Xenopus tropicalis: one gene and its partners. Each later gene encodes a partner of the first gene's protein in a complex. Links are inferred from orthologs where the notes say so. Each region holds a gene or a part of one and is shown on either strand. Other genes may lie near its edges.

The links.
Region 2: nup214 (region 1) and nup107 share a complex: the UniProt entries of both Homo sapiens proteins name them as parts of the nuclear pore complex. The link is inferred for Xenopus tropicalis from reciprocal best matches to the Homo sapiens genes NUP214 and NUP107.
Region 3: nup214 (region 1) and cetn3 share a complex: the UniProt entries of both Homo sapiens proteins name them as parts of the nuclear pore complex. The link is inferred for Xenopus tropicalis from reciprocal best matches to the Homo sapiens genes NUP214 and CETN3.
Region 4: nup214 (region 1) and nup93 share a complex: the UniProt entries of both Homo sapiens proteins name them as parts of the nuclear pore complex. The link is inferred for Xenopus tropicalis from reciprocal best matches to the Homo sapiens genes NUP214 and NUP93.
Region 5: nup214 (region 1) and nup205 share a complex: the UniProt entries of both Homo sapiens proteins name them as parts of the nuclear pore complex. The link is inferred for Xenopus tropicalis from reciprocal best matches to the Homo sapiens genes NUP214 and NUP205.
Region 6: nup214 (region 1) and nup98 share a complex: the UniProt entries of both Homo sapiens proteins name them as parts of the nuclear pore complex. The link is inferred for Xenopus tropicalis from reciprocal best matches to the Homo sapiens genes NUP214 and NUP98.
Region 7: nup214 (region 1) and nup160 share a complex: the UniProt entries of both Homo sapiens proteins name them as parts of the nuclear pore complex. The link is inferred for Xenopus tropicalis from reciprocal best matches to the Homo sapiens genes NUP214 and NUP160.

What each region holds. Positions count from the first base shown.
Region 1 is NC_030684.2:12,406,364-12,409,863, forward strand, and holds part of nup214 (nuclear pore complex protein Nup214), read right to left. Parts: intron 2,091-3,500; coding exon 1,895-2,090; intron 136-1,894; coding exon 1-135. UniProt on the Homo sapiens protein: Part of the nuclear pore complex. Has a critical role in nucleocytoplasmic transport.
Region 2 is NC_030679.2:58,822,426-58,826,632, forward strand, and holds the start of nup107 (nuclear pore complex protein Nup107), read left to right. Parts: upstream 1-1,407; 5' UTR 1,408-1,465; coding exon 1,466-1,563; intron 1,564-1,689; coding exon 1,690-1,781; intron 1,782-2,661; coding exon 2,662-2,742; intron 2,743-3,714; coding exon 3,715-3,830; intron 3,831-4,207. UniProt on the Homo sapiens protein: Plays a role in the nuclear pore complex (NPC) assembly and/or maintenance. Required for the assembly of peripheral proteins into the NPC. May anchor NUP62 to the NPC. Involved in nephrogenesis.
Region 3 is NC_030677.2:178,970,906-178,975,088, forward strand, and holds the start of cetn3 (centrin-3), read left to right. Parts: upstream 1-1,383; 5' UTR 1,384-1,409; coding exon 1,410-1,426; intron 1,427-2,809; coding exon 2,810-2,945; intron 2,946-3,986; coding exon 3,987-4,101; intron 4,102-4,183. UniProt on the Homo sapiens protein: Plays a fundamental role in microtubule-organizing center structure and function. As a component of the TREX-2 complex, involved in the export of mRNAs to the cytoplasm through the nuclear pores.
Region 4 is NC_030680.2:43,618,648-43,622,147, forward strand, and holds part of nup93 (nuclear pore complex protein Nup93), read left to right. Parts: intron 1-914; 5' UTR 915-927; coding exon 928-1,106; intron 1,107-1,824; coding exon 1,825-1,942; intron 1,943-3,500. UniProt on the Homo sapiens protein: Plays a role in the nuclear pore complex (NPC) assembly and/or maintenance. May anchor nucleoporins, but not NUP153 and TPR, to the NPC. During renal development, regulates podocyte migration and proliferation through SMAD4 signaling.
Region 5 is NC_030679.2:6,637,403-6,640,902, reverse strand, and holds part of nup205 (nuclear pore complex protein Nup205), read left to right. Parts: intron 1-2,033; coding exon 2,034-2,243; intron 2,244-2,355; coding exon 2,356-2,455; intron 2,456-2,535; coding exon 2,536-2,673; intron 2,674-2,774; coding exon 2,775-2,964; intron 2,965-3,483; coding exon 3,484-3,500. UniProt on the Homo sapiens protein: Plays a role in the nuclear pore complex (NPC) assembly and/or maintenance. May anchor NUP62 and other nucleoporins, but not NUP153 and TPR, to the NPC.
Region 6 is NC_030678.2:177,435,280-177,438,779, forward strand, and holds part of nup98 (nuclear pore complex protein Nup98-Nup96), read right to left. Parts: intron 2,844-3,500; coding exon 2,620-2,843; intron 2,512-2,619; coding exon 2,242-2,511; intron 1,897-2,241; coding exon 1,739-1,896; intron 1,587-1,738; coding exon 1,443-1,586; intron 1,315-1,442; coding exon 1,166-1,314; intron 566-1,165; coding exon 344-565; intron 245-343; coding exon 3-244; intron 1-2. UniProt on the Homo sapiens protein: Plays a role in the nuclear pore complex (NPC) assembly and/or maintenance. NUP98 and NUP96 are involved in the bidirectional transport across the NPC. May anchor NUP153 and TPR to the NPC.
Region 7 is NC_030680.2:15,976,507-15,980,464, forward strand, and holds the start of nup160 (nuclear pore complex protein Nup160), read left to right. Parts: upstream 1-1,158; 5' UTR 1,159-1,173; coding exon 1,174-1,378; intron 1,379-3,958. UniProt on the Homo sapiens protein: Functions as a component of the nuclear pore complex (NPC). Involved in poly(A)+ RNA transport.

The DNA of each region.
Region 1 (3,500 bases):
GAACATCATAGAAGGAGACAAAAGTTCCCTGTTCAGCAGAAGTCATACAGACGGATAGTGTCAGATTGTCAGAGCTCAGGGCCAAATGGTGAATGGGACAACTCATAGGCACGTGTATACCTTGGGGTCCCATAACTGCAGAGGAAAGTAACAGAAAACAATATTAAAATGCAGCAATATAGTAGTTAAAAGTTTTTCTTTAAAAAAAAAAAAAAAAAAGTGTCCAAATGTTGATTGGGTTCAAACTTTGCTTAGTGTTTATAAATTTAGCAACTTTTTGAGCTCATTCAGTTGCAAGAAACCTAAACTTCCAAATGCCATCCCACCGGCAACAATGTAAATCGCCGATGGGATGGCATCCTGAAGTTGTGTTGAGAGGAAAAATCAGGAAATTGTAGCAACGCGTATGCCATGCCACCGGCGATTTACATTCTTGGCGGTGGGATGGCATTGCGGGCAGATTAGTCGCCCGCGGCTACGAAGATTTGTGGTAGGGCGACTGATCTCCCTGTCTGGTACTGCCATTGTGGGTGCCGTACAGATTACCTGGAGAGCAAAGGGACTTTAATTGGGAAATGGTTCGTATGAGTCAAAGACAGGCTATTATGGTTTCCATTCAGTCTGTGGAACCAGGTACAGTATGTCTATGTAAAATCTGGCGCACCTCCCTACCTCTTGGCACATAGGTGCACATGGGTGGACATGGGTGGACATGGGAGCTGTGATGTCATTTTGGCACCAAATTGAAATTTAAAAAAAGGTCCTTCCACCTTGTATTCCATACCAAAGCTAGCTCGGTATCCCTACAGTCCTGCCTAACCCTTTAATTCCTATTTGCTGTGTCCTGTCTCCTAGCCTGGTTTTGACCATGATTCTGCCTGACACTCTTCTGAACCATGTTTCTGGATCAAACTCCAGGTACTACAGGTTCCTCCCACACTCCAAAATATACTGGCAGGTTATAGAAACCAACTACATTAAAGTCATCCCCATTCCATTTGGAAATATTAACCTTAAAAGCAAGCAGGTTGCAGGTAAAAGCCCCTGTGTAAAATGTATAAATGAAGCAGAAGAATTCATATTGATTCAAATGAAAGTGAGGACTGGCCAGACCAGGGTTGGCCAGCTTGAAGTATATTGTAATATGTCGCCAAACAATCCCTGTTTTGTTTAAAGGGGAAGGCATGTCTTGGTAGCTTAATGCAGAGAATGTCTTAGGGCTCTGGCACACGGGGAGATTTGTCGCCTCGCGAGGCATTTTTCGGCGATTTGCCGAAATCGCGCCGCGTGTGCCATCCCACCGGCGACTTACATGTTCGCCGGTGGGATGGCAACTCAAGGAGATTAGTCGCCCGCGAACAGGAAGATTTGTCGCGGGCGACTAATCTCCCCGTGTGCCACAGCCTGTATATTTTGATAATGGGTGAGTGCAGAGGATCTCTTGCTGCTGTCTTTAGCAGGCAGGTTTATTGGCTCCTGATACCCCAAGTGTAAATTTCATTGGGCAGGGACTAATGGGAATGATGTGTCAATTTCTGTAAAGTGCTACTGGATATGTTGGTTTTATATCAGGGGAGGCCAATATGTCGATTGCGGTCCACCAGTCGATCCCCCGTGGATTTCTGGTGGACCGAGATCAAGCCGGGGATGCGGAAATGCTCTGTGAATGCAAACGTACGCTCGCACGCCGCACTTCCGCATCGGTGCAGTTGATCGAGACTGGATCGAGTCTGGCCAACCCTGCTCTATATGAATAAAACAATAATAAAAGTCATTAAAGTTCCTGGCAGAAGATTTATATGAACCCAACTTTGTGTGGATGAAATGCCAATTTTATAACAAACACATGTAACACTGACCATCTTTTGATGATATTATACAGACATCAAATTACCAATTTTATTTGCATCTTCCCCGGGTCTGACTGCTACAAGAACATCCTTTGTGTGGAAAAACTTTAATCCCATAGGGCCTCCCACGAACAGAAAACCATACTTGTTCGAGATCACAAGCAGGTTGGAGCGTTCCTTGGGAAGATCTACTGGAGAGTCAAACAGTCGGATCTTTTTTAGCTGTCGGAACTGGAAATCCTGTAAGGACAAAAAGATACAAAATTTTAGTAAAAGTATGGGATCCCTTATCCGGAAACCCGTTATCCAGAAAGCTCCGAATTACGGAAGCCCGTCTCCCATAGACTCCATTTTAATCAAATAATTCAGAATTTTAAAATGAATTACCTTTTTCTCTGTAATAATAAAACTGTACACCTTGTAATTGATCCCAACTAAGATATAATTACCCCTTATTGGGGGCAGAACAGCCCTATTGGGTTTATTTAATGGTTAAATGATTCCCTTTTCTCTGTAATAATAAAACAGTACCTGTACTTGGTCCCAACTAAGATATAATTACCCCTTATTGGGGCAGAACAGCCCTATTGGGTTTATTTCATGGTTAAATGATTCCCTTTTCTCTGTAATAATAAAACAGTACCTGTACTTGATCCCAACTAAGATATAATTACCCCTTATTGGGGGCAGAACAGCCCTATTGGGTTTATTTAATGGTTAAATGATTCCCTTTTCTCTGTAATAATAAAACAGTACCTGTACTTGATCCCAACTAAGATATAATTACCCCTTATTGGGGGCAAAACAGCCCTATTGGGTTTATTTAATGGTTAAATGATTCCCTTTTCTCTGTAATAATAAAACAGTACCTGTACTTGATCCCAACTAAGATATAATTACCCCTTATTGGGGCAGAACAGCCCTATTGGGTTTATTTCATGGTTAAATGATTCCCTTTTCTCTGTAATAATAAAACAGTACCTGTAATTGATCTCAACTAAGATATAATTACCCCTTATTGGGGCAGAACAGCCCTATTGGGTTTATTTAATGGTTAAATGATTCCCTTTTCTCTGTAATAATAAAACAGTACCTGTACTTGATCCCAACTAAGATATAATTACCCCTTATTGGGGCAGAACAGCCCTATTGGGTTTATTTAATGGTTAAATGATTCCCTTTTCTCTGTAATAATAAAACAGTACCTGTACTTGATCCCAACTAAGATATAGATAATCCTAATTGCATGCAAAACAACCCTATTGGGTTTATTATTATTATTAACATTTATTTATAAAGCGCCAACATATCCCGCAGCGCTGTACAATAAGTGGGTTACATACATTGGACATACAGAGTAACATATAAAGCAACCAATAACCGATACAAGAGGTGAAGAGAGAACTGCCCAAAAGAGCTTACAATCTACTGTTTTATTGATTTTTTAGTAGACTTAAGGTATAGAGATCCAAATTATGAAAGACCCCTTATCCGGAATACCCTTGGTCCCAAGCATTCTGGATAACGGGTCCTATACCTGTACCTAAAAGATCCGGAGAAGATCACCTTGTTTGGAAAGGTCACCAAATAAGTGGATCTTTCCCAGATATGCCCACCTTGGACCAACAACTGGATCACATTGACAGGGTA
Region 2 (4,207 bases), on another chromosome or scaffold:
CAAGAGTTCCCCTCAGGTAGCACTACCTGCCCCAGAGTACCTTCCCCTATGGAAAGGTTGCTGCTCCCACGTAGCAGGCAAGCAAGCAATAACTGTTCTCACCAGGGGACACACACTGATTCCACAGAGGACTTTGTAATCACTGGCAACCCTGCAGACTCTTCTCTTTTCAATCTGAACTAACAACAAGTGGTACTGGCTGCTCACTCTGTATCTCTCTTCCCAAAAAAACCAGCAAAACAACAGGGGCTCCCTTTATCAACTGCTGGACCCGCCCCTTGATTTTTGGCTCCAAACTTAAGCACACCTCCTCCCAGACTGCACTGGGACATCCAGCCAATCGAGTTCTCTGATCCCCTACACATGAATGCTACAGGTACTGCTTTTGCCAACTCCTGGTCTGGGATCTCTTACCCCCTGCCCCTGATGCTCCACCCCCACAAAGTCTGCACACCTTGCGCGCAGCACTTCCCCCCCTTCACAATGTCCACGTGCATTCATTCACAGATGGGGTTGCAGCGGGGGTGAGGTGGTCGGCCAGGTTGCCTAAAGGTGGCAATACAATTATGCAATTATGCTATTTCCTGCGACCACTTTCATTCAAAGCTGAATTGTCAGATATGGAGGTATCCAATCTACCGATTCAGCCTTTAACGTAGATTTTGCAGCCTTTGGGTTATTAGTTTATAAGGTTATTAGTCTCATCAATCGCCAGCTTAAAGCTTGGCCTGCCTCTAAGTCTTCTACTAAATCAGCCCTTAGTTTGCACAAAACCACCAGAACCCTCAAAGTACAAAAAAACCCCTAAAAACATGACCTCATTTCACTTGGCCCTAGTTTTCACAATAACTCTTCCCTTTTTGGTCAGACTGGGAGAAAAGGTTCTGACGGCAGCCGGTACCGTTAGCAACCAGGAAACTCTTTTTTAGCTCCCTGGCAATGACAAGGATCTCTGAGCAGAAAAGATAATTGACTTGGAGGAAATATTGAGATTCGAGGTGGAGGAGAGCAATCACCTCCTAAGAAGAGTCTTTTTTTTCCCTTTTTGTTCTCCAACAAAAGTAGGAAGTGCGAGCAGAACAAATCCAAGCTACTTATTAGCAGCTACCAATTGTGTAACGCCGCCTTACTGGGTAGCGCACTGTCTCTGCTCGTCACTCCCATAAGGCGGCTACGTGATGCGTCACGACGCTTGCGTGTAGTTGTACGTCACAGTCTCGCGTGAGGAGACATGTGGAGTCGGGATTTTCTGTAAGACAGGAGGCTAGGAGCTTGCAATTAACAGCTTTACGGGAGGAGTAAGTAGCAAAGGTGTAAGTAGCAATCTGCGGCTGCTGGCTGTGTTACGAAAATCGGGATCGACAAGCGGGACTGTTGGGTAGTATTCAGTTAGGGGTTAGTCAGGGTCCCTGCTGTCAGTACGCTGCACACTTTGAATGGGAGGGCGGGAGCTTACGGTACCTACATGTTCTCTCTCTGCAGCTTTCGGTACTTCTGGCTTATTCACAGAAGTTTTAGTCCCGTTCTATTGAGTAGACTGAAGGACTGTTCTCCCTCTAGCCTGTATGTATCGGTCTGCTAGACTTTTCTGTTACATGTTTGCAACCTTGTGTGCATCATAGCGGGACTTTCTCACAGAATACACATCGAACATAGGAAGGACTGACCCCGTGTTGTGCTCTCTTGCAGCAGGACCAGCATGGATATGCTTTCGCCGGTAGTGCGGGAGGCAGAGGTTTCTAGAGCAGCTCGCCGCCAAAGCTCCAACAGGAGGAATCCTGGTATCCTTTTGTAATGTGAACTATCATCACAAATCACTGGTGTCCCCAATAATATCAAACGGGAAGGCTTTTGATCAAACAAAAATGACATTGGAAGTTAACAGAAATTTTTGGTTGTCATTTATCTATTACTATAATTTCTTTGTGATTAGTGTTTATGTTTTGCATGTCATTTTTTTCTAAAATCAATGGAAGGGCCCCTCCTTTATTGAGTCCCCTTTGTTTTAAATGGTTAAGGCTTCATTTTTAAATCTGTGTTGATTAAATGTGATAGTATATTTAAGTTTGCAGTGTCTGAGTATTACTCTAATTAAGGAAATAACCCATCGTAGGAGTAGGTTGGGTGGGTTTTTATTAATATTAACAGGCTGTTTATGGACCACAGATGTTTGATAGCAGTACCTGCACCAAAAACACAGTAATAGGCCTTTTATTGTCTTTGATGGGTTAATTTAATAAATGCGTCTTGTCTTGTAATCCATAGGAGCCAATCAGCATGTAGCACTTACTGCTATGGGTTAATATGTGTGACCAAACTTAAGCCTTTATTACATTATCCTACATGTCTCTAAAGCAAATAACATGGTTAACCCTGTCTCTTAGGCATTCCCCGTCATGACTCCCTGACTTTTTGCCTTACATGAATGCAACAGAACCAGTATTGCACTTTTTTGTTCTTTTTTTGTTCTGAGGCTATGCATGGGCAATGCAATTACAGTGTAATAAGAAACGCAAACAACAATAATGATTAGTTACTTTAAGCTGGAAAGTCGGCTAATATTTTCCCGGTGCTTGCTTGTTTCCCTGGTACTGTTTAGAGAGGAAATATTGAACTGATTCCAGAAAAAGCTTTTGTTGCCACACTTAACGTCTTGCCTAGCTGATGAGAGCTGGAGCAATGCAACACCAGCAAGAGGCCCATTATCTCGCACAACAGGACAAACACTATTTCGACAGCACAGTAAGATGTTTATATATAAACTGGGTCTGCAGTTGATAATCATGGGCTTGTTTGATTCATCTTGTAGAAACTGTCCCACTGACTTGTGTTTTACAAATATCAGCATTCAGTCATGGTTATTATAAAATTCAGATGAGTTTGTATAGTAACCTGCTTGTGTAGACATTTTGGTTAAGGGCATTCTTGCTGTTTTGCCATTTCTTGATGATGATATTCCTATTCCTGTCTTGTGCTTCCTGTTAAGCTGAGAGCAGGCCAAATCTACCTGCCATGTTCTAATAAATATACCAAAAGTTCCAGTGTGTATCTGACTACTTTACCTGAACTAACACAGCCGCAGTATTAACCCACTGCTAGCCAGCAGTTTATTACAGTGGGGGCGAGGATGAGATTTATAATGCTGAGAGAGGGTCTCTCGAACTACAGCTCTGACAAAATCCTTAAGCCATATCTTGAAAAGAGAGATGAGCTTTCCATAGATCAAGGTTGTTTACTGTGGGGGATACGGGTTGTCATTCCCCCTAAAATATCGTCAGAGGCTCTTGCATGAACTTCACGAAGGCCATCCAGGTGTAAACAGGATGAAAGCACAAGCTTGTGGTTACCTGTGGTGGCCAGGCCTGGATCAAGATATAGAATTTTTTGTAAGTCAGTGTACTGCTTGTGCTTCTGTAACACGAGCTCGTGCTTTCATCCTGTTTACACCTGGATGGCCTTCGTGAAGTTCATGCAAGAGCCTCTGACGATATTTTGGGGGAATGACAACCCGTATCCCCCACAGTAAACAACCCTTATCTATGGAAAGCTCATCTCTCTTTTCAAAATATGGCTTAAGGATTTTGTCAGAGCTGCAGTTTATTACAGTTTGGATATAAGAAAAAAGTAATACTGAACATAGTATTTATGCTGTGAAAGTCTTTTTTTTTTTTTTTTGCTTTCTGGTATGTAAATGTACTTTTCACCTTTACCTAGTGACGCCACAAACCTGGAATTCTTCAAGGCCACCAGATGTTTCGGCAATACTGGGCACTGTAGGGCGATCACCTCGCTTGGTACAGACTCCTGGGCGTTTGGCAAACATGTCTATGGTAAGACAATCCATTCTACAGAAGGCATTAAGGCGGCACAACACAGGCAGATTTCAGCTGCCGATTCAGGTCCTTAAGGCCTTAGGGGCAGCTTATCTGCCCGTGTATGGGAACCCCCGACAAGCCTAGCCAACTGACATCTGGCCTAAAATTGTGCAGATTCCGACAGGTTTGATTTTTCCATTGGATGAACAAGCCGATGCGGTCCTCGGTCCGACGGCACTGTCTAATTGGCCCAATATTGCCCACCTAAGGTGGGTAATTGGAAGAAGATCCGCTCTTTTGGTGACCTTGCCAAACCAGTGAATCTTACAGTGTATGGCCACCTTTAGTCTTCAGTTTCTCTTTCATGTGATTTATCCTATACGTATTTTGTG
Region 3 (4,183 bases), on another chromosome or scaffold:
AACTGCATCAGAACTGAATAATTAACCCTGTTGAATCCACTTATATGACAGACATATGTCATTTTCTGCTTGATAATTTGCAATGACCCCTAAGCTCAGCTTCTCAACTGCCTCTCAGAGCTCACCGAACATGTGCACTGCCCCCGACAGTTCTAACAGAATCCAAAATGGGGAGCTCCTGTGACAACTGTAAAGACCTATATTATTACTACTATAGAGATGCTGAAACTTTTGGCTAATGTCAGACAAGGCGTATGGTGTATATTTTTGGCAACCTGAAAATGCCGTAAATGCCGCCATACACCTACTACCTGTGCCTGCATCCGAATGTATGTAATACGCCCGTGTGCAAGACTTTGCATTCTCTTGCGTTTTTATATGGGTATCGGCTACATGTGCCTGCACCCGAGCGTATTCTATTCATTCGGCCTGGTCTGACATTAGCCTTAAGCCAGGTACAGAAGAACAGGAACAGCACCTCTTGTCTTTGTAAATTAAAATGCCTTTATTGCAAAGTTTTTTGGGGCAAAGAACAACAGCAGCAACCTTTAGGTCTTATGTGACCTGAAACGTTGCTGCTGTTGTTGTTTGCCCCAAAAAACTTTGCAATAAAGGCATTTTAATTTACAAAGACAAGAGGTGCTGTTCCTGTTCTTCTGTACCAGGATATGCCGATGGAAAGTGGCCATTGGGGAACCTGCACTACTTCTAACTAATCACAAGGCTTAGTGCTGACTACTACTCTCCAAATTAGCCTTAAGCCAGTCCAGTCAGTTTTTTATATAAAATATGGCATTTCTAGCCATATTCATTTTTAGGGAATAGTTTACACTAACTGGCAACCACACAATTAAAATAAAAAAACGTGGAAGCTATTAGGGAGCATGAATTGCTGCTAAAAGGTATGAGTAAATCATCCAAACTAAGTATGTTACCAGATTTACACAGGAATGGGGTTACTATCAAAATATATTTCTATCATTTTTACTTTAAAATTCAGCCCTGATATGTGGGTTAGGTGGCAGCTCCCTTCATGCTTTAGCTCGCTGTAAGGTAGTGAAGCATGCCGGGAGGTGTACTATTCAAGCGTTACGGGGCCGCTTGCATTTCTCTCGCACTGTGCATGAGTTTGAGCTTCCCGCTCCTTGTCACACTCCAAGCGCCTTGTTACGTCACTGCCTAGTAACCAGCTCATTTTTCCGGCACCTCCCCCAAGCGCCTCACTGCTCTCCAATCACAAGGCGCTGTTAGTGCCAGGCTGATCCCGTTGCTAGGGGAGAAGTTGTAACGGTAGCCAATCGGAGGCGCTGCCTTGTGTTTACGAGGTGGCGCCTAGGCCTGTAAGTGGGACAGCAGCCCCGGCTGACCGAGGGAGTGTGGCAGCGCTGTGCGTCTGTAGCGGAGGAGCGATGAGCTTGGCTGTGAGGTGGGTGCATTGGAAGCACAAAGGAAAGGGGGTTCACAGCGCTGGAAGGCTGGGACCCCTATAGAGTTAGGTTTATATAAAATAGCAGTGTCCTATCTGTGCTACTTCCAGCTTTTGTTATACTGAAACTCTCAGCGCCACATGGTGATGGGGTTAGTTGCAGTTAAACAACAGCTGGCGAGCTGCAGATTGGATATTCTTTATTAATACACTAACAATTACAAGTGTAACGCCAAATAGGTCCTTTGCCATTTGACTTACCTTTTGTGCTCTGAGCCTCATGTATGTGTTCCTTTCCCCTGAAACTGTTACCCATCAGTCTCCCTTAGCAGGGGGCTATTTATTGGTGCACTTTGTGTCAGAACTTATCTTGTCTGTGTAAATGCCTTTGTAATGTGAAAGTGAAATATAAAGTGATTATATATATATTAGTGTGTATCAGAGTGGGGGCCGGCAGAGACAGAACTGGTACAGATGTTACACTGGATTCCATACACTTTTATTGGCCCATAGAGTGAATAAGTGTGCCAATACATGAGCAGTTTGGCTTTTCTTAAAAAGACAGTAACTGGTTGGCCCCTGACTGGATGCAAAACCGTAAACGGGTACATTTGGCTATTTGGCTCTCTGTGTGGGTGGCTGAACTAAGGGAGGATCCATGCAAATGTTGCCCTGACCACACAGGCAAGTCATTACGTGTATGGCAAGCTGCATATGGAAATGCTCTCATTTCTTGTATGTTTCTGTTCTGTTCCATCATCACAGCTGACTTATGCCGGGGGACAGGGATCTTTCACTAGAGACAACTCTGGGATTTTATGTTGGTGTTTCACTAGTGAACAAATCATTTTTGGGCTCATCTGTAAAAATGTACATTATCCTAAATTATGGGCCAGGAATAGTTTATATGAATTAGGGTGCGATTTAGGTACAATGCTTATTCCTTATTTAGGTAAACTAAATAAGGCTAAAAACCACCATTCCAGGTATTTACTACAGGTGTGCAGATCCTTGAATATAAACACTTTGTATATCTAGTTGTATCCCAGATTAGAACAGATTCCCAGGTTGGAACACAGTACATCTGTCCCACTTGTATTCCAAGTGTTTAGAAATGTCAGCTAACTAGATGAGGAGTTGTAACTACTTGGGGGTTGTAGTTCTGTAATACTTGAAAAGCCACATACTGCGCTAGCAGCAACAGCCTGTTATTTGTTTTGAAATATGCTGCACTGTGTGTTTAATGGCAACAGGAAGATCAAAAGGGCACAGCACACAAAGTGTTAAACAGTGCAACCACCACCAGGCCAGAGTAACAGGAAAATTCAGTTTCAGTGTTATGTGCTTTGTATGTTTTATGTTAGTAACTCACGTCTCTCGCAGGACTGATCTAGCAGTTGACAAAACGAAAAAGAAGAAAAGAAGAGAATTAACAGAAGAACAGAAACAGGAAATAAAAGATGCATTTGAATTATTCGATACAGACAAAGATAAAGCAATAGATTATCATGAATTAAAGGTAATAAAACTTTTTCCAAGATTTGGACTTGGTGTTCTTAGTGTTCTGCCAAGCTGAATCCATGCCATGGGGCTTTAAAGGAGGGAGTCATTAGGTGGGGGTGGCATGTTTGGGTGTAGAGGTTCTCTGTTTATCTGGCTGTGGGTAATTGCTTTACAGTGTCAGCTAGGGATCCAAGTGGTTTGCAGGTTAGATTATAAATTTGATGACAAGATGAGTTTTAGGGCTGTGACACACGGGGAGATTAATCTTCCTTGTCGCGGGCGACTAATCTCCCCGAAATGCCATCCCACCGACTAGAATGTAAATTGCCGATGGGATGGCATACGTGGCGGCGCGATTTGCCGATGTCGCCGAAGTTTCCCGTGTGTCACAGCCCTTAAATGATACTTAAAATGGCCTGACTCTCTGTTAATGGTTGATTGTATGGAAACGGGATAGGGTTGCCAACTTTTCTCTTGGGCAATACCAGCCGAGACGGAAAAGTGGCAGCATGATGATGTCTGAGGGCTTAAGGAGCTGTGATGTAAAAAAGGGGCAAGTTGTGATGCAGAGGTGGTGGATCAAGCAGTGATTGGGTGAGTAGGAGTAGGCAGGTTTATAGAGTGGTTGGGGGATACAGGGGAAGCGGGGAGAGGTGGTTGGTGCAGGCTGGGGATGTTATCAGTAGGGATTACAAATATAACAGTACATTTCAGTTTCCGTGTTGCTGGTGTCTTTTTTTTTTTTTTTTTTTTGTAATAAATATATATATATATATATAGATATATATAGAATAAAACACAGCCAGCACCAAGGGTCTTGTGGTTTAAACAAATTTCCGTGTTGCTGGTGTCTTTTTTTTTTTTTTGTAATAAATATATATATATATATATATATATATATATATATATATATATATATATATATATATAGATAGATATATATAGAATAAAACACAGCCAGCACCAAGGGTCTTGTTTATAATAAATAAAATACACGGCCTGCAAGGGTGATAGTAGGGTGAGTTTTTTCATACATAATCATGTATTTTATTTACAGGTAGCAATGCGAGCTCTGGGATTTGATGTAAAAAAAGCAGATGTCCTAAAAATCCTTAAAGACTATGATGGTGAAACAACAGGCAAAATTACATTTGATGATTTTAATGAAGTTGGTAAGTGGGAAAACATGACTGCAACATACCCTAAGTTATGCATCACTTTTAACAGCCACAAGCCAGATTCCCACCCAGTGAA
Region 4 (3,500 bases), on another chromosome or scaffold:
GTTGTACATTATGTTTTGGCCTTCTGTACCAGCCCAAGGCGACCACAGCCTTTTAGTAGGGAAGATCAGTGCCTCCAAAGATGCCCAGTAGCTTCCCATCTTCTTTTTTGCTGATTCACTGCACATTCTCTGTGCTGCTTTCAGTTAGGGACCGGCTCAAAATATATTACATAAATAAAAATATAAATTTAACAGTAAAAGGCTGATCTGAAACCAGGGCAATTGCATCTAATTGAAAAATTAGCCCTGTAGCATCAGCTTCTATGACAAACCTAATTTTCTGCTTGAAAATTTGCAGCAACCCCTAAACTTTTCAACTGCTGCTCAGAGCACACTGAGCATGTGCACTGTCCCAGACAGATCTAACAGAATCCAAGATGAGGAGCTCCTGTAAAGACCTATGTCATTACTACTACAGAGATGCTGAAATTTTAAAGCCAGTGCAGTCAGTTTATTATATAAAGTATGGCATTTCTAGCCATATTAATTTTTAGGGTTTAGTTTTCCTTTAATACGCTGAACCTTTCTGCTAGTTCTAAAACATGGCTTGACATTTCGGACCTCCAGAAGTAATTGGATTTCATCTGCATATAAAGCTACCTTTTCATCCAATCTCCTACACTTGAGCCCGATGATATTAGGGGACTGGTGGACCATTATGGCATAGGTTATCGAGGAAATAAAAAATGATACCTATACCTAATTTTTCAAATACTTTCCATAAATATGACTATTTGACCAAGTTAAATGCTTTGGTGGCATCCAGAGATGCCAGAACTCTGAAGCTGGAATTGTGGCGATCAATTTGAAGGTATATATATAACCTTCTCAAGTTGATGGCATTGCTTTTACTGGGCATAAAGCCTGTTTGGAAGTGCATTGTAATAGTATACTCTATATGCTCTGTTTTGCAGATCTCCTGTGACAATGGATGGAGAAGGGTTTGGAGAGCTTCTGCAGCAGGCTGAGCAGCTTGCTGCAGAAACAGAAGGAGTTACTGAACTACCTCATGTAGAGAGGAACCTACAGGAGATCCAGCAGGCTGGTGAGAGGTTGCGCTCCAAAACCATGACTCGCACTTCTCAGGAGTCAGCCAATGTGAAAGCGTAAGTACCAGTTATTTTTGATTAAGGACTGTCACATGGTATTTTGATAACTTATAACTTTGCTAAAGAAGCTTGGGTTTCATCCCATAAGGCCAGTTATTTTTGGATGATGATCGCAATACAGGCAAACTTTGGAAAAAAATTCTGATCATGGTAATTGAAAGATCTACTACAGGCATTTTGAGCACAGCTTCAAGTAGCAATTACTAAACAACCCTTTTAATAAATGCTGCATGAATAAATGTGGTGTTTTTTTCCTAGGAGCAACATTACAGAGGAATACTAGGTTGTAAAGTGGTTGCTTTACACATGGCACCGATGATGTTTATGAGGAAAGGTGCTGAGAAAGGGCTTTCAGGTTTTGGATGTGAACAGTAGTGACTATAAGGTTGTGGAGTGAAATCTTAGTACAGTGGAGGGCAGTGTAGCAAAATATATTCTTTTGCATAGGTTGGTGGGCACAGGCAACCATTGAGATAAAGACCCTGCAGACTTTAAACAATGACTCCTGCTCAGGGCCTGACCAAGTTGGGGCTGGTGGATTTTTGTGAAGCGCTAGTCTGATTTAATTCATTGGGGGTGCCTAACTTATTGCCAATTTATTAGCCTTTCATTTTATGGTAAGTACAAAACTCCCTTTTTCAGAACATTCTATATATTACTTAAATGTTGGACAGTATATAGTAATAAATATACCGCTTTTTTATAATTATTAAAGGTCTGTTCTGCTGGGATCAAGAGGTCTTGACATCTCTCACATTTCCCAGAGGCTTGAGAGTCTTAGTGCAGCCACAACATTCGAGCCTTTGGAACCTGTTAAAGACACGGATATCCAGGTAAAGGGGCCTTATCTACTTTAAATGGTAGAGAAAATGGTGAGGAATGTCCATTTAGTCTTAAAAAGACAAGTTAAATAAATAGAATGGTTGTGCAACCTTAAAGAACATGTGAAGGCTACATTTGCCTACAATGTATATCAGTTGGGCACATCCCCCTCACCCATTTGTACTGCATATATCCCCTGTGCTTGCCAGCACCATCACATTTTCCTAAACCAAATAGCAGCTTTCACCCGGTGGCCATTTTTCGTCTGATTACAGGCTCAAGAATACAGGCATACACACAGGCACAACTGTCTTTGATAAAAGTTCTGCTTTGTTTGAGCTGAGTTCAGGAGAGTTGGTTGGGAGAAAAAAAATTGAAGCAGACAGCTAGAGCTGAGTTTCTATGGGAACCAGCAATGCCATCTCTTCGCTGGCTGCTAGACTGGGGGGCATGTTTAGTAATCTGAGCTTAGAACAACTGAGCATGCCCACAAGCCAAAGCAAATTCTTGAGGGAGGGGGCTGAGTGGGTTACAGGAGGAGAACAAATCTAAGTAATTAAGGGAATGTTGCAGCCTTACTATTAACCCCTGGACAACCAGTGTGGCAGGTATTGAAAGATTTTAAAGAGGCTGTTCACTAATTACATTTTTGTGTGTGGGGTTTACATGTCCTTAAATCTGCTAATAGCCGGGATAGGCAAATTTTGGGTAAATGACATGTTTTGTCAAAGAAATTTTAGGGGTTAACTAACTTAACAGTGGATATATGTATTTATATATGTGTGTATATATACAGTATATATTTACTGTTTTGCTAAATTTAGACTAGAAAACAATTACATTTGGTATGTGCAAAATTTTAGTGGTGCTGCATCCTACAGTGCAGTATTAAAGGGTTGGTTTACCTTTAAGTCAACGATCCCCAACCTTTTATACCTGTGAGCCACATTCAAATGGAAAAAGTGTGGGGGAGCAACACAAGCATGAGAAAGATTCCTGGGGGTGACAGTAAGAGCTATCATTGGCTATGTAGCCCCTATGTGCACTGGGAGCCTACAGAAGGCCCTGTTTGGCATTATACTTGGTGAACATGTTCACTAGCCACTGCTTGGGGAGCACTGCGCTTTGAGTTAACAATTAGTATGTTATAGAAAGGCTAATTCTAAGCAGCTTTTCAGTTGTTACTTATTTTACCTTTTGAATGATTTGCCTTGTACTTTTGACTCTTTCATGGGGTTAATGACCCCAGTATTTAAAAAACTTGCTTTGCGCGGCTACAATTTAATTATTATTGCTACTTTTTATTATTTTTGTTTTTATTCAGGCTTCTCCTATTCATATTCTAAGCTCTCATTCAAATCACTGCCTGGTTGCTAGAGTAATTTGGACCCTAGCCAGATAGCTGTCAAAAATCCAAACTGGAGAGCTGGTGAATAGAAAGCTAAAATAACTTATAAAACACAAATAATATAAAATGAAAACCAGTTACAAATTGTCTCAGAATATCCCTCTTTACAACAAAAGTTAATTTAATGGTAAACAACACCTTTAACTGAACAATATGATCTT
Region 5 (3,500 bases), on another chromosome or scaffold:
CAGCTTATTGTGTGCCCAGAACATTCCCTCTCTGTATATTTGTATTTATACATATGGGTAGGGGGTGCCATAGTGTTTCCCTTAGACAGTACAGTATGGGGGTACAGCTTATTGTGTGCCCAGAACATTCCTTCTCTGTATATTTGTATTTATACATATGGGAGGGAGGTGCCATAGTGTTTCCCTTAGACAGTACAGTATGGGGGTACAGCTTATTGTGTGCCCAGAACATTCCTTCTCTGTATATTTGTATTTATACATATGGGTAGGGGGTGCCATAGTGTTTCCCTTAGACAGTACAGTATGGGGGTACAGCTTATTGTGTGCCCAGAACATTCCTTCTCTGTATATTTGTATTTATACATATGGGTAGGAGGTGCCATAGTGTTTCCCTTAGACAGTACAGTATGGGGGTACAGCTTATTGTGTGCCCAGAACATTCCTTCTCTGTATATTTGTATTTATACATATGGGTAGGGGGTGCCATAGTGTTTCCCTTAGACAGTACAGTATGGGGGTACAGCTTATTGTGTGCCCAGAACATTCCTTCTCTGTATATTTGTATTTATACATATGGGTAGGAGGTGCCATAGTGTTTCCCTTAGACAGTACAGTATGGGGGTACAGCTTATTGTGTGCCCAGAACATTCCTTCTCTGTATATTTGTATTTATACATATGGGAGGGAGGTGCCATAGTGTTTCCCTTAGACAGTACAGTATGGGGGGGGGGGGTACAGCTTATTGTGTGCCCAGAACATTCCCTCTCTGTATATTTGTATTTATACATATGGGTAGGGGGTGCCATAGTGTTTCCCTTAGACAGTACAGTATGGGGGTACAGCTTATTGTGTGCCCAGAACATTCCTTCTCTGTATATTTGTATTTATACATATGGGAGGGAGGTGCCATAGTGTTTCCCTTAGACAGTACAGTATGGGGGTACAGCTTATTGTGTGCCCAGAACATTCCTTCTCTGTATATTTGTATTTATACATATGGGTAGGGGGTGCCATAGTGTTTCCCTTAGACAGTACAGTATGGGGGTACAGCTTATTGTGTGCCCAGAACATTCCTTCTCTGTATATTTGTATTTATACATATGGGAGGGAGGTGCCATAGTGTTTCCCTTAGACAGTACAGTATGGGGGGGGGGGTACAGCTTATTGTGTGCCCAGAACATTCCTTCTCTGTATATTTGTATTTATACATATGGGTAGGGGGTGCCATAGTGTTTCCGTTAGACAGTACAGTATGGGGGTACAGCTTATTGTGTGCCCAGAACATTCCTTCTCTGTATATTTGTATTTATACATATGGGTAGGAGGTGCCATAGTGTTTCCCTTAGACAGTACAGTATGGGGGTACAGCTTATTGTGTGCCCAGAACATTCCTTCTCTGTATATTTGTATTTATACATATGGGTAGGGGGTGCCATAGTGTTTCCGTTAGACAGTACAGTATGGGGGTACAGCTTATTGTGTGCCCAGAACATTCCTTCTCTGTATATTTGTATTTATACATATGGGTAGGGGGTGCCATAGTGTTTCCCTTAGACAGTACAGTATGGGGGTACAGCTTATTGTGTGCCCAGAACATTTCTTCTCTGTATATTTGTATTTATACATATGGGTAGGGGGTGCCATAGTGTTTCCCTTAGACAGTACAGTATGGGGGTACAGCTTATTGTGTGCCCAGAACATTCCTTCTCTGTATATTTGTATTTATACATATGGGTAGGGGGTGCCATAGTGTTTCCCTTAGACAGTACAGTATGGGGGTACAGCTTATTGTGTGCCCAGAACATTCCCTCTCTGTATATTTGTATTTATACATATGGGTAGGGGGTGCCATAGTGTTTCCGTTAGACAGTACAGTATGGGGGTACAGCTTATTGTGTGCCCAGAACATTCCCTCTCTGTATATTTGTATTTATACATATGGGTAGGGGGTGCCATAGTGTTTCCGTTAGACAGTACAGTATGGGGGTACATTCCTTTGCGATAATCCAAGATTTGACATTGGCTTTAACCAGGTGGAACTGAATGAGATCGAGTCTCGGTGTGAGGAGTACCCCCTGACCAGAGCATTCTGCCAGCTCATTAGCACTTTAGTGGAGAGCTCCTTCCCCACCAATCTGGGAGCGGGTTTGAGAGCACCCGGCTTTGAGCCATACCTCCAGTTTCTACGGGACACTGTGTTCCTTCGGTTCCGCACTAGAGCCTACAGGAGAGGCGCAGAAAAGGTAATTAATGATATTTATGCTTACGTGCATTCTGGGGTTTGGGTATTACTGGGATACCACCTTGAACCCATGTATTTTCCTCACTTATGTATTTATGCCTCTGTGTTTGCAGTGGGAGGTAGCAGAGGCTGTACTGGATGTCTTCTACAAGCTTTTGAAGGACTATGAGCCCCAGCCTGAAGACTTTGTGGACCAGTATGTGGAACTCCAAGGTATGTTTTGCCTTTTCAGCCGGTTTATAGAATTGACAATAAAAAGGCAACATCATTTTACCGTTCATGTCCTGTTTTAGGAGAAGAAAGAGTTGCTTTCAAGCCCCCGGGGTTCAGCCTCATGCATCACCTTCTCAATGATTCTCCGATGCTGGAGCTCTGCCTCAGCCTCATGGAAGAGGGGGTCACCCAGCTGGACACTTACGCCCCTTTTCCAGGTAATCGTCCAGTCTTTTACACTAAAACAGAACTTTGAGCTTTTGCCTTTAGACAGAACATAAGTACAACCTATTAAATATATGTATTCCTTCTTTCCCAGGCAAGAAACACCTAGAGAAAGCAGTGGCTTATTGTTTCATGCTCCTCAATCAGACTCTGCAGAAGGAGAATCGCTTCATGGATTTGTTGAGGGAAAGTCACCTGTCGTTGATTGTGACCCCTCTGGAGCAGCTCCTGCAGGGAATTAACCCACGATCCAAGAAAGCTGATAATGTCATCAATATTGCTCGGTGAGTGGGTCCTAAAGGTGGCCATACACGTAAAGGTCCGCTCGCCTGGCAAGGGATCTTCTCGCGATATCCCCACCTACGGGTGGGCAATATCGGGGGAATTTAGGCTAAATCGGTCGTTTTGCCCTGGGACCAAACGATCGAATTATAACAACTGTAATGGGTGCAGTCGGTTCGGGGACCGCACCAACGAGCTGATGCGGTCCCCGATCCGACTGGATTTTTTAACCTGCCCGATCAATATCTGGCCGATTTCAGGCCAGATATCGGTCGGGCAGACCTGTCGTTATTGCCCCTACACAGGCTGATAAGCTGCCGAATCGGTCCAAGGGACACTTATCAGCAGCTACAATCGGCCCGTGTATGGCCAATTAAGACTGCAGTCTGACAACATGGAAGGCTAGATGTCGCCCACCTCTTTGGTCATTAATGCACACCCATTATCTCTAGTTCACGCCTTTTACATGCATCAGTTACATGCCTTCCTGATCTTACTGAGTGCTTCTCTGTATCCTTCAGATATCTCTACCATGGGA
Region 6 (3,500 bases), on another chromosome or scaffold:
ACCTGCGGCCAAGTGGCGGGTCACCAGTTTGTGGCACTGGTTCCACTGGTGGCTCTTGAGTAAATACAAGGCCTCTTTATGCTTGTCCCCATCCCGCCGGGAGCGGACCGCTTTCGCTTTGTGGATCCATTGTGCTGGGAGGCAGAGTCTCTGAATTAGGAAGTTCTCTTTGGCCAGGGACTCGGGGCTGTCGTGCACAACGCAGTGCCTATTCAGCAACTCCCGGACGGCTGCTTCACGGACGCTGCACGGGCAGAAGGAGAAAGAGGGTTCAGTTCCAGCTGCCGGGGGTTCTACAGAGGGGGCCAGACTGGCGCCCAGACACAAGCGGCCAATCACTTACTGCGGATCCTGGATGTGCAGCAGTACGAATATGGCCCATTCCCAGAGCCCCACATTCTCCAGCTGGGCAGCGTAACTGGCGTGCAGCATCCCCTGGCGATGCCCAGACAGATGGGTATAATTCAGAGCCTGCAGGACCATCCACATGTGCCAGCTGAGCCTGTAGTCCAGGGGGTCGGGGGTGGCACTGCTGGGGTCTAGCAGCTGGCAAAGATCATACTGCCTGGGCAAAAACACACACAACTCCAAGTGAATCCAGGAGCCAATAGAATCACTGCAATACAACCATTTCATTCCTTATAGGCGGCCATAGATGGTAAGTACCACCCTACATTGGGCAATACTGGGCTAATTTGATTGTTTGGCCCAAGGGACAAATGATCGAGTAACAAAGGCGGGCATAGGCGCTGTTGGATCAGGGACTGCATCAACGAGTAGTGGGGGCCCCCATGCCAATCAATATCTGGCCAATTTTAGACCAGATATCTATTGGGTAGACCCATCTGTGGTGCCCATACATGAGCACATAAGTTGCCAAATGGGTCTGAAGGACCCGATCTGCCCATGTATGGGCACCTTCATTTACTATAAGCACCAATCAGCCCTAAGGGACTGGGAAAGGCCAACACAGGATACTCCCAGCTCAGCACAGACACTGCCTCTCAGGTACCCAGTTACAGACTGCGCCCCCTACAGGGCATCTGGCAGTGCTGTACAGTATACAGACAAGCACCAAGATACTGCCTGCAGTCTGGGACTGAGCTTATAGACACTAAATCATGCATAATTGCAGGCATAACATGTGTGTAAAGGCCTCGCTTACCTCTCACTGTACAGTTTCAGCAAATGGACACAGACGTCTCTTTGCAGGGAGCAGAATTTAGCAGAAGGGTCATCCCCAAAGCTGAAGCCGCAGTCTTCCAAATAGGGGGGCAGAGGGTAGCAGGCGTAAGGCTCCCCGCCCTCCTGTTCCTGCCAATGTTACAGAGAGAAAAGCAGGATTTAGTACAAATTCATCCCATTAACTTGGGTGCAATCGGTGCTGCCCCATTAGACGGCTGCAGTACTGGATTTGCCCCATTAGGAGGCAGACTCCTTACCTGAAAGGCCTGCTCGTACATGTGTAAGGCCTGTGCCACGGTGGCGGTGGGTGGGAGCATGTACCACAGATGAATGCCCAGCGTTCGCTTCCAGTCCAACTGAGAGCAGACATTGATGCTTCTGTTATCTGAAGAGCGCCACACCTAGGGGCACACAGGAACAACAGTGAGAGCAAGCCGTAAATACACACAGGAGCCAATCAGAGGGCCCCATTAGAAGGATCCTGTATATGCCAATGGTTTTCCAACATAATGAGACCAATACATAAGACGTAATTAGCCAAATAATGACTTACCGGGGTGCCCGAGAGCAGGCAGAACACGCGCAACCGCTCTTCTTGGATGTAGTGATCCACCTGCAGCTTGTTCCAGTCGACCAACTGTAGGGTTATGAGATCCCGCACTTCCTGGCTGCCCACCATCTGAGAGAGCAGGAGGGACAGCCTGTGATCCCCTGCAGGGGTAGGAATAGCCTGGGTCAGAAATACGGCACTCACACTGCTCACTCCAGGGCCCCATCTGCTTTGCTAGAGTCTGAGGGACACTATCGGCACCAGGTTCTACTACTGGTGAGGGAAGGCTCTATTATACAGATATATAGATAGATGGGAGATCTACTGGATAGATAGAGATTAGATATAAAATATCCTATATATCACAGAGATATATCTATTAGAAATGCCCTGAATCCATATACATCACATGTAAATATATTGCTTTTTCCTGCAGTTTCAGGCCTAAGGAACTATTTCCAGAGGCAAAACCGGGCGATTCCCTGGGAGAAAGGGGTCACACTCACCAGATTTCTGTGCCAGGCGGCACGCGTCGCTGATCCTGCCCCCGGTAAGGTAGCTAAACACCGCTTCGATGTGCCGCTCTGGGCCGTACAGAGACACCTCTTCCTCTATCCGCTCCTGGGCCGTCTGTGCCAGCCAGTGGGAGAAAGCCTTCCGCCTCTCAAGGTTCTTCACGTACTCGTTTGGCTCATCGAGACTGGCCTCCAGCTCCTTCAGTTGGCCCCACAGGGACTCACACAAGGTCCATGTCAAGCCCCACTGTTTCACCACCGCTGTGTAAGGGAGAAACCAACGGTGACTGCGCTGGGATAACAGAAGGGGCGGGCACTGCACTAGTGGGCGGGGACACTAGGGAAGGGCCCACGTTGTTCTTAACTCACCTTCAACCTCTGCGGCTTCACTGGAGAAGTTCCTGACCCAGCCGGCATAGTCGTGAATGGCAGTGACTCCTGGGTTGGGCCTGAAGTGGGGGCATGGGCCGGATTTGTCCACGGTGCTGTTCTTCAGCTCTATCTCCAGCGGCAGCAAGTAGGACTGCAGGTCTTTGGTCTTCTGCTCCAGGCTCAGCTTCTCCACGTGAACTTTAAAGGGCGACTCTGTGAGACTACAAAGAGCAACGAGACATCTCTTACTCACACTGTAACCCCACAAACCCTACTAACTGGGCTCACTGCTACACATACCCAGAAAGCCAAATGCCCTGTGGGGAACGGGACTGGCAACATGTCAGGCCCCAAACTATGCAATTAATCTACTGTATCCTTTATAGGGGCTTTGTGTTTTACTGTAGCCAGCGCTACACATTAGAACTGCTTTCAGCTAACCTATTGTTTCTCCTACTCCCATGTAACTGGGGGAGTCCCAAGCCGGACTTGGATTTCTTACTATTGAGTGCTATTCTGATACCTACTGGGAGCTGCTATCTTGCTCCCTTCCCATTGTTCTGCTGATCGGCTGCTGGGGGTGAGGTGGGGGATATCACTCCAACTTGCAGCACAGCAGTAAAGTGTGCCTGAGTCTGAGCTTTCAGCCAGCGCTACACATTAGAACTGCTTTCAGCTAACCTATTGTTTCTCCTACTCCCATGTAACTGGAGGAGTCCCAAGCCGGACTTGGATTTCTTACTATTGAGTGCTATTCTGATACCTACTGGGAGCTGCTATCTTGCTCCCTTCCCATTGTTCTGCTGATCGGCTGCTGGGGGTGAGGTGGGGGATATCACTCCAACTTGCAGCACAGCAGTAAAGTGTGCCTGAGTCTG
Region 7 (3,958 bases), on another chromosome or scaffold:
ATTAAAGTAACATAAAATTCAAATTAATTTCACATTTTTTTTACACAATATGTCATACTAGATAAAAAAATCTAGTACAACTTGTGCCACATTAAAGTCGGCATATGTTTTTGGACTTATTTAACTCCATTTTGTTGGAGTTGATAATGCAAATTAAGAAAGATGGATTAGACTGGTGAAATTTCGGAGAAGAGGGAAAAAATAGCATTCAGACAACTGTGAATTTACCATTCAGTTCTGTTGTAAATAAATATTTGACTCAAATTTCATCTTAATATCAATTTTATGAAATCCCTCCCTGGGCAGGCTATTGGTCAGAATGGTGGTGCAGTTCTAGCCTGCAGGATATTCCTTAATGGGCCTCAGTGTGGATTTTAGGAGCTCCCTTTACTGTAACTTCAGTCCCGGAAATACGACAACCTTAGCTGTAGGCGAAAATAAACACTTAGATTGTAAGCTCTACGGGGCAGGGACCTCCTTCCCACTGTGTCTCATACCACATGGCACTTATATATATATATATTTACAGTATACAGGGAGGAGCACACCCTATACAAGTCCAAATGCCCTTGGTGCAGGTCAAAAAACAAAAATATAATAGAAAGAGTGCCGCACACACAGGGACTTGATACAAAAGAAAAAGTGGTTTTATTGAAAAAATTCCAACGTTTCGAGCACAATCTGTGCTCTTCCTCAGGGACAAACCTGGTTTGTCCCTGAGGAAGAGCACAGATTGTGCTCGAAACGTTGGAATTTTTTCAATAAAACCACTTTTTCTTTTGTATCAAGTCCCTATGTGTGCGGCACTCTTTCTATTATATATATATTTACTGTATTTATTTATTATATCACTTGTCCTCCCTGTGTGTAATTTTGTATTCTGTAAGATTGTACAGCGCTGCGTACCCTTGTGGCGCTTTATAAATAAAGTTATACATAAATACATACATACTTTATTGATAATACAGCTTCTACTTGTTCTCAAGGTTACAGATAATATCACAGAGGCTCAGAAATAACTAAAGCTAACAGTAAAGCTCCATGGATATTACTGAGAATATTATATTTTCCACACTGTATCTGGCTATGCATTCTCTACTGTAAGCCGAAAGAGTTTTCAACACCAGAGAGCCAAGAAAAAATGTTTCCTGACTACTTTTGCCAGTATGAAACATGGCCGCGGCCGAAAGTCACATGACATCTTTTCAAGCAGAAGATTGGGCGGGAAGTAATATTCTTCCCATGGTGCAGCGCGCTGGCGGCTCCACACGGGGAATCATGGCGGCCTCTGTGAATCTAGAGAGAAGTTACATGGAATTGATTGGTGCCGAGCGGGAAACGTCAAGGAGGAATTTCAGGGATTTGAGTCTGCGCCCAGGTGCTGTATTGGTTGGCAGGGCTGCGGGCACTGGTCTGTCGCTTGGCTCTGGGGGGCGGTGGAGAGACCAGGGCCCACATGGTTCTATAGACTGACAGGAGTGGGGCAGGTCTGAGGCACTTTTCCTGCAATGGCCATCAGCACATGCGTCCCACTAATATATTGGCTACTCATTTACACTCATTTAGAAACTCTGGACGTTTTTGCGCCACTGTCTTAACACATAGTGTAGCTTTTATACTGCCTGACGCAAACTAGAAACTGAAATGCCTGGTTGCTATGGGTTACTGCACTGCTTATAGTAAATGAGCCCCAGTGTGTCTCTTGACGTGTAGGAACTGCCATACTTGGTGTCACTCTTAATTTACTGTCAGGGGTTGGATAGTGCCATGTGTATATACGTGTGTGTGTGTGTGTGTGTGTATATATATATATTATACAGGGAGGAGCGCACCCTATACAAGTCCAAATGCCCTTGGTGCAGGTCAAAAAACAAAATTATAATAGAAAGAGTGCCGCACACACAGGGACTTGATACAAAAGAAAAAGTGGTTTTATTGAAAAAATTCCAACGTTTCGAGCACAATCTGTGCTCTTCCTCAGAGCTGGTTTGTCCCTGAGGAAGAGCACAGATTGTGCTCAAAACGTTGGAATTTTTTCAATAAAACCACTTTTTCTTTTGTATCAAGTCCCTATGTGTGCGGCCCTCTTTCTATTATATATATAACTTTAGTAATGTAACAAAATATTATATATATATATATATATATATATATATATATATATATATATATATATATATATATATATATATATATATATATATACACAGTGGTGTGAAAAACTATTTGCCCCCTTCCTGATTTCTTATTCTTGTGCATGTTTGTCACACAAAATGTTTCTGATCATCAAACACATTTAACTATTAGTCAAAGATAACACAAGTAAACACAAAATGCAGTTTTTAAATGAGGGTTTTTATTATTTAGGGAGAAAAAAAATCCAAACCTACATGGCCCTGTGTGAAAAATAATTGCCCCTGAACCTAATAACTGGTTGGGCCACCCTTAGCAGCAATAACTGCAATCAAGCGTTTGCGATAACTTGCAACGAGTCTTTTACAGCGCTCTGGAGGAATTTTGGCCCACTCATCTTTGCAGAATTGTTGTAATTCAGCTTTATTTGAGGGTTTTCTAGCATGAACCGTCTTTTTAAGGTCATGCCACAACATCTCAATAGGATTCAGGTCAGGACTTTGACTAGGCCACTCCAAAGTCTTCATTTTGTTTTTCTTCAGCCATTCAGAGGTGGATTTGCTGGTGTGTTTTGGGTCATTGTCCTGCTGCAGCACCCAAGATCGCTTCAGCTTGAGTTGACGAACAGATGGCCGGACATTCTCCTTCAGGATTTTTTGGTAGACAGTAGAATTCATGGTTCCATCTATCACAGCAAGCCTTCCAGGTCCTGAAGCAGCAAAACAACCCCAGACCATCACACTACCACCACCATATTTTACTGTTGGTATGATGTTCTTTTTCTGAAATGCTGTGTTACTTTTACGCCAGATGTAACGGGACACGCACCTTCCAAAAAGTTCAACTTTTGTCTCGTCGGTCCACAAGGTATTTTCCCAAAAGTCTTGGCAATCATTGAGATGTTTTTTAGCAAAATTGAGACGAGCCATAATGTTCTTTTTGCTTAAAAGTGGTTTGCGCCTTGGAAATCTGCCATGCAGGCCGTTTTTGCCCAGTCTCTTTCTTATGGTGGAGTCGTGAACACTGACCTTAATTGAGGCAAGTGAGGCCTGCAGTTCTTTAGATGTTGTCCTGGGGTCTTTTGTGGCCTCTCGGATGAGTTGTCTCTGCGCTCTTGGGGTAATTTTGGTCGGCCAGCCACTCCTGGGAAGGTTCACCACTGTTCCATGTTTTTGCCATTTGTGGATAATGGCTCTCACTGTGGTTCGCTGGAGTCCCAAAGCTTTAGAAATGGCTTTATAACCTTTACCAGACTGATAGATCTCAATTACTTTTGTTCTCATTTGTTCCTGAATTTCTTTGGATCTTGGCATGATGTCTAGCTTTTGAGGTGCTTTTGGTCTACTTCTCTGTGTCAGGTAGCTCCTATTTAAAGCGGACCTGTCACCCTAAGAAATAAGTCCAAATTATTTTTTATATTGTTAGTTGAGCAAAATAAACTTTACTTACTCTATATAAATAATATAAATCTTGTTTCCTTCCGTCTTGGAATTACTCAGTCAAAGCAAGCAGGCAGGCACCATTTTGTGGACACTGTTATTAAGGCAAGCTTTGTATCACCCCAAAATATTGTGTATGTGCCAGAATGGGGGACCTGATGCCCAGGCCCATGCACTGGCTACACAATTAGATGAGAAGGAGGGGGGGGGAAGTGAGATGTGCAGTCTAGGAAGTGCTGAATGGAAAGCTAAAGTTATTGTCTGCCCCGCCTCTATGCCTAAGGCATAGAGGTGGGGCAAGCAATATATGATTGACAGCTGTGATTTTTAAATGCCTTTATAATGGGTTTGGATGTGTTAATATAAAAATGAATTTGGGTTTCATG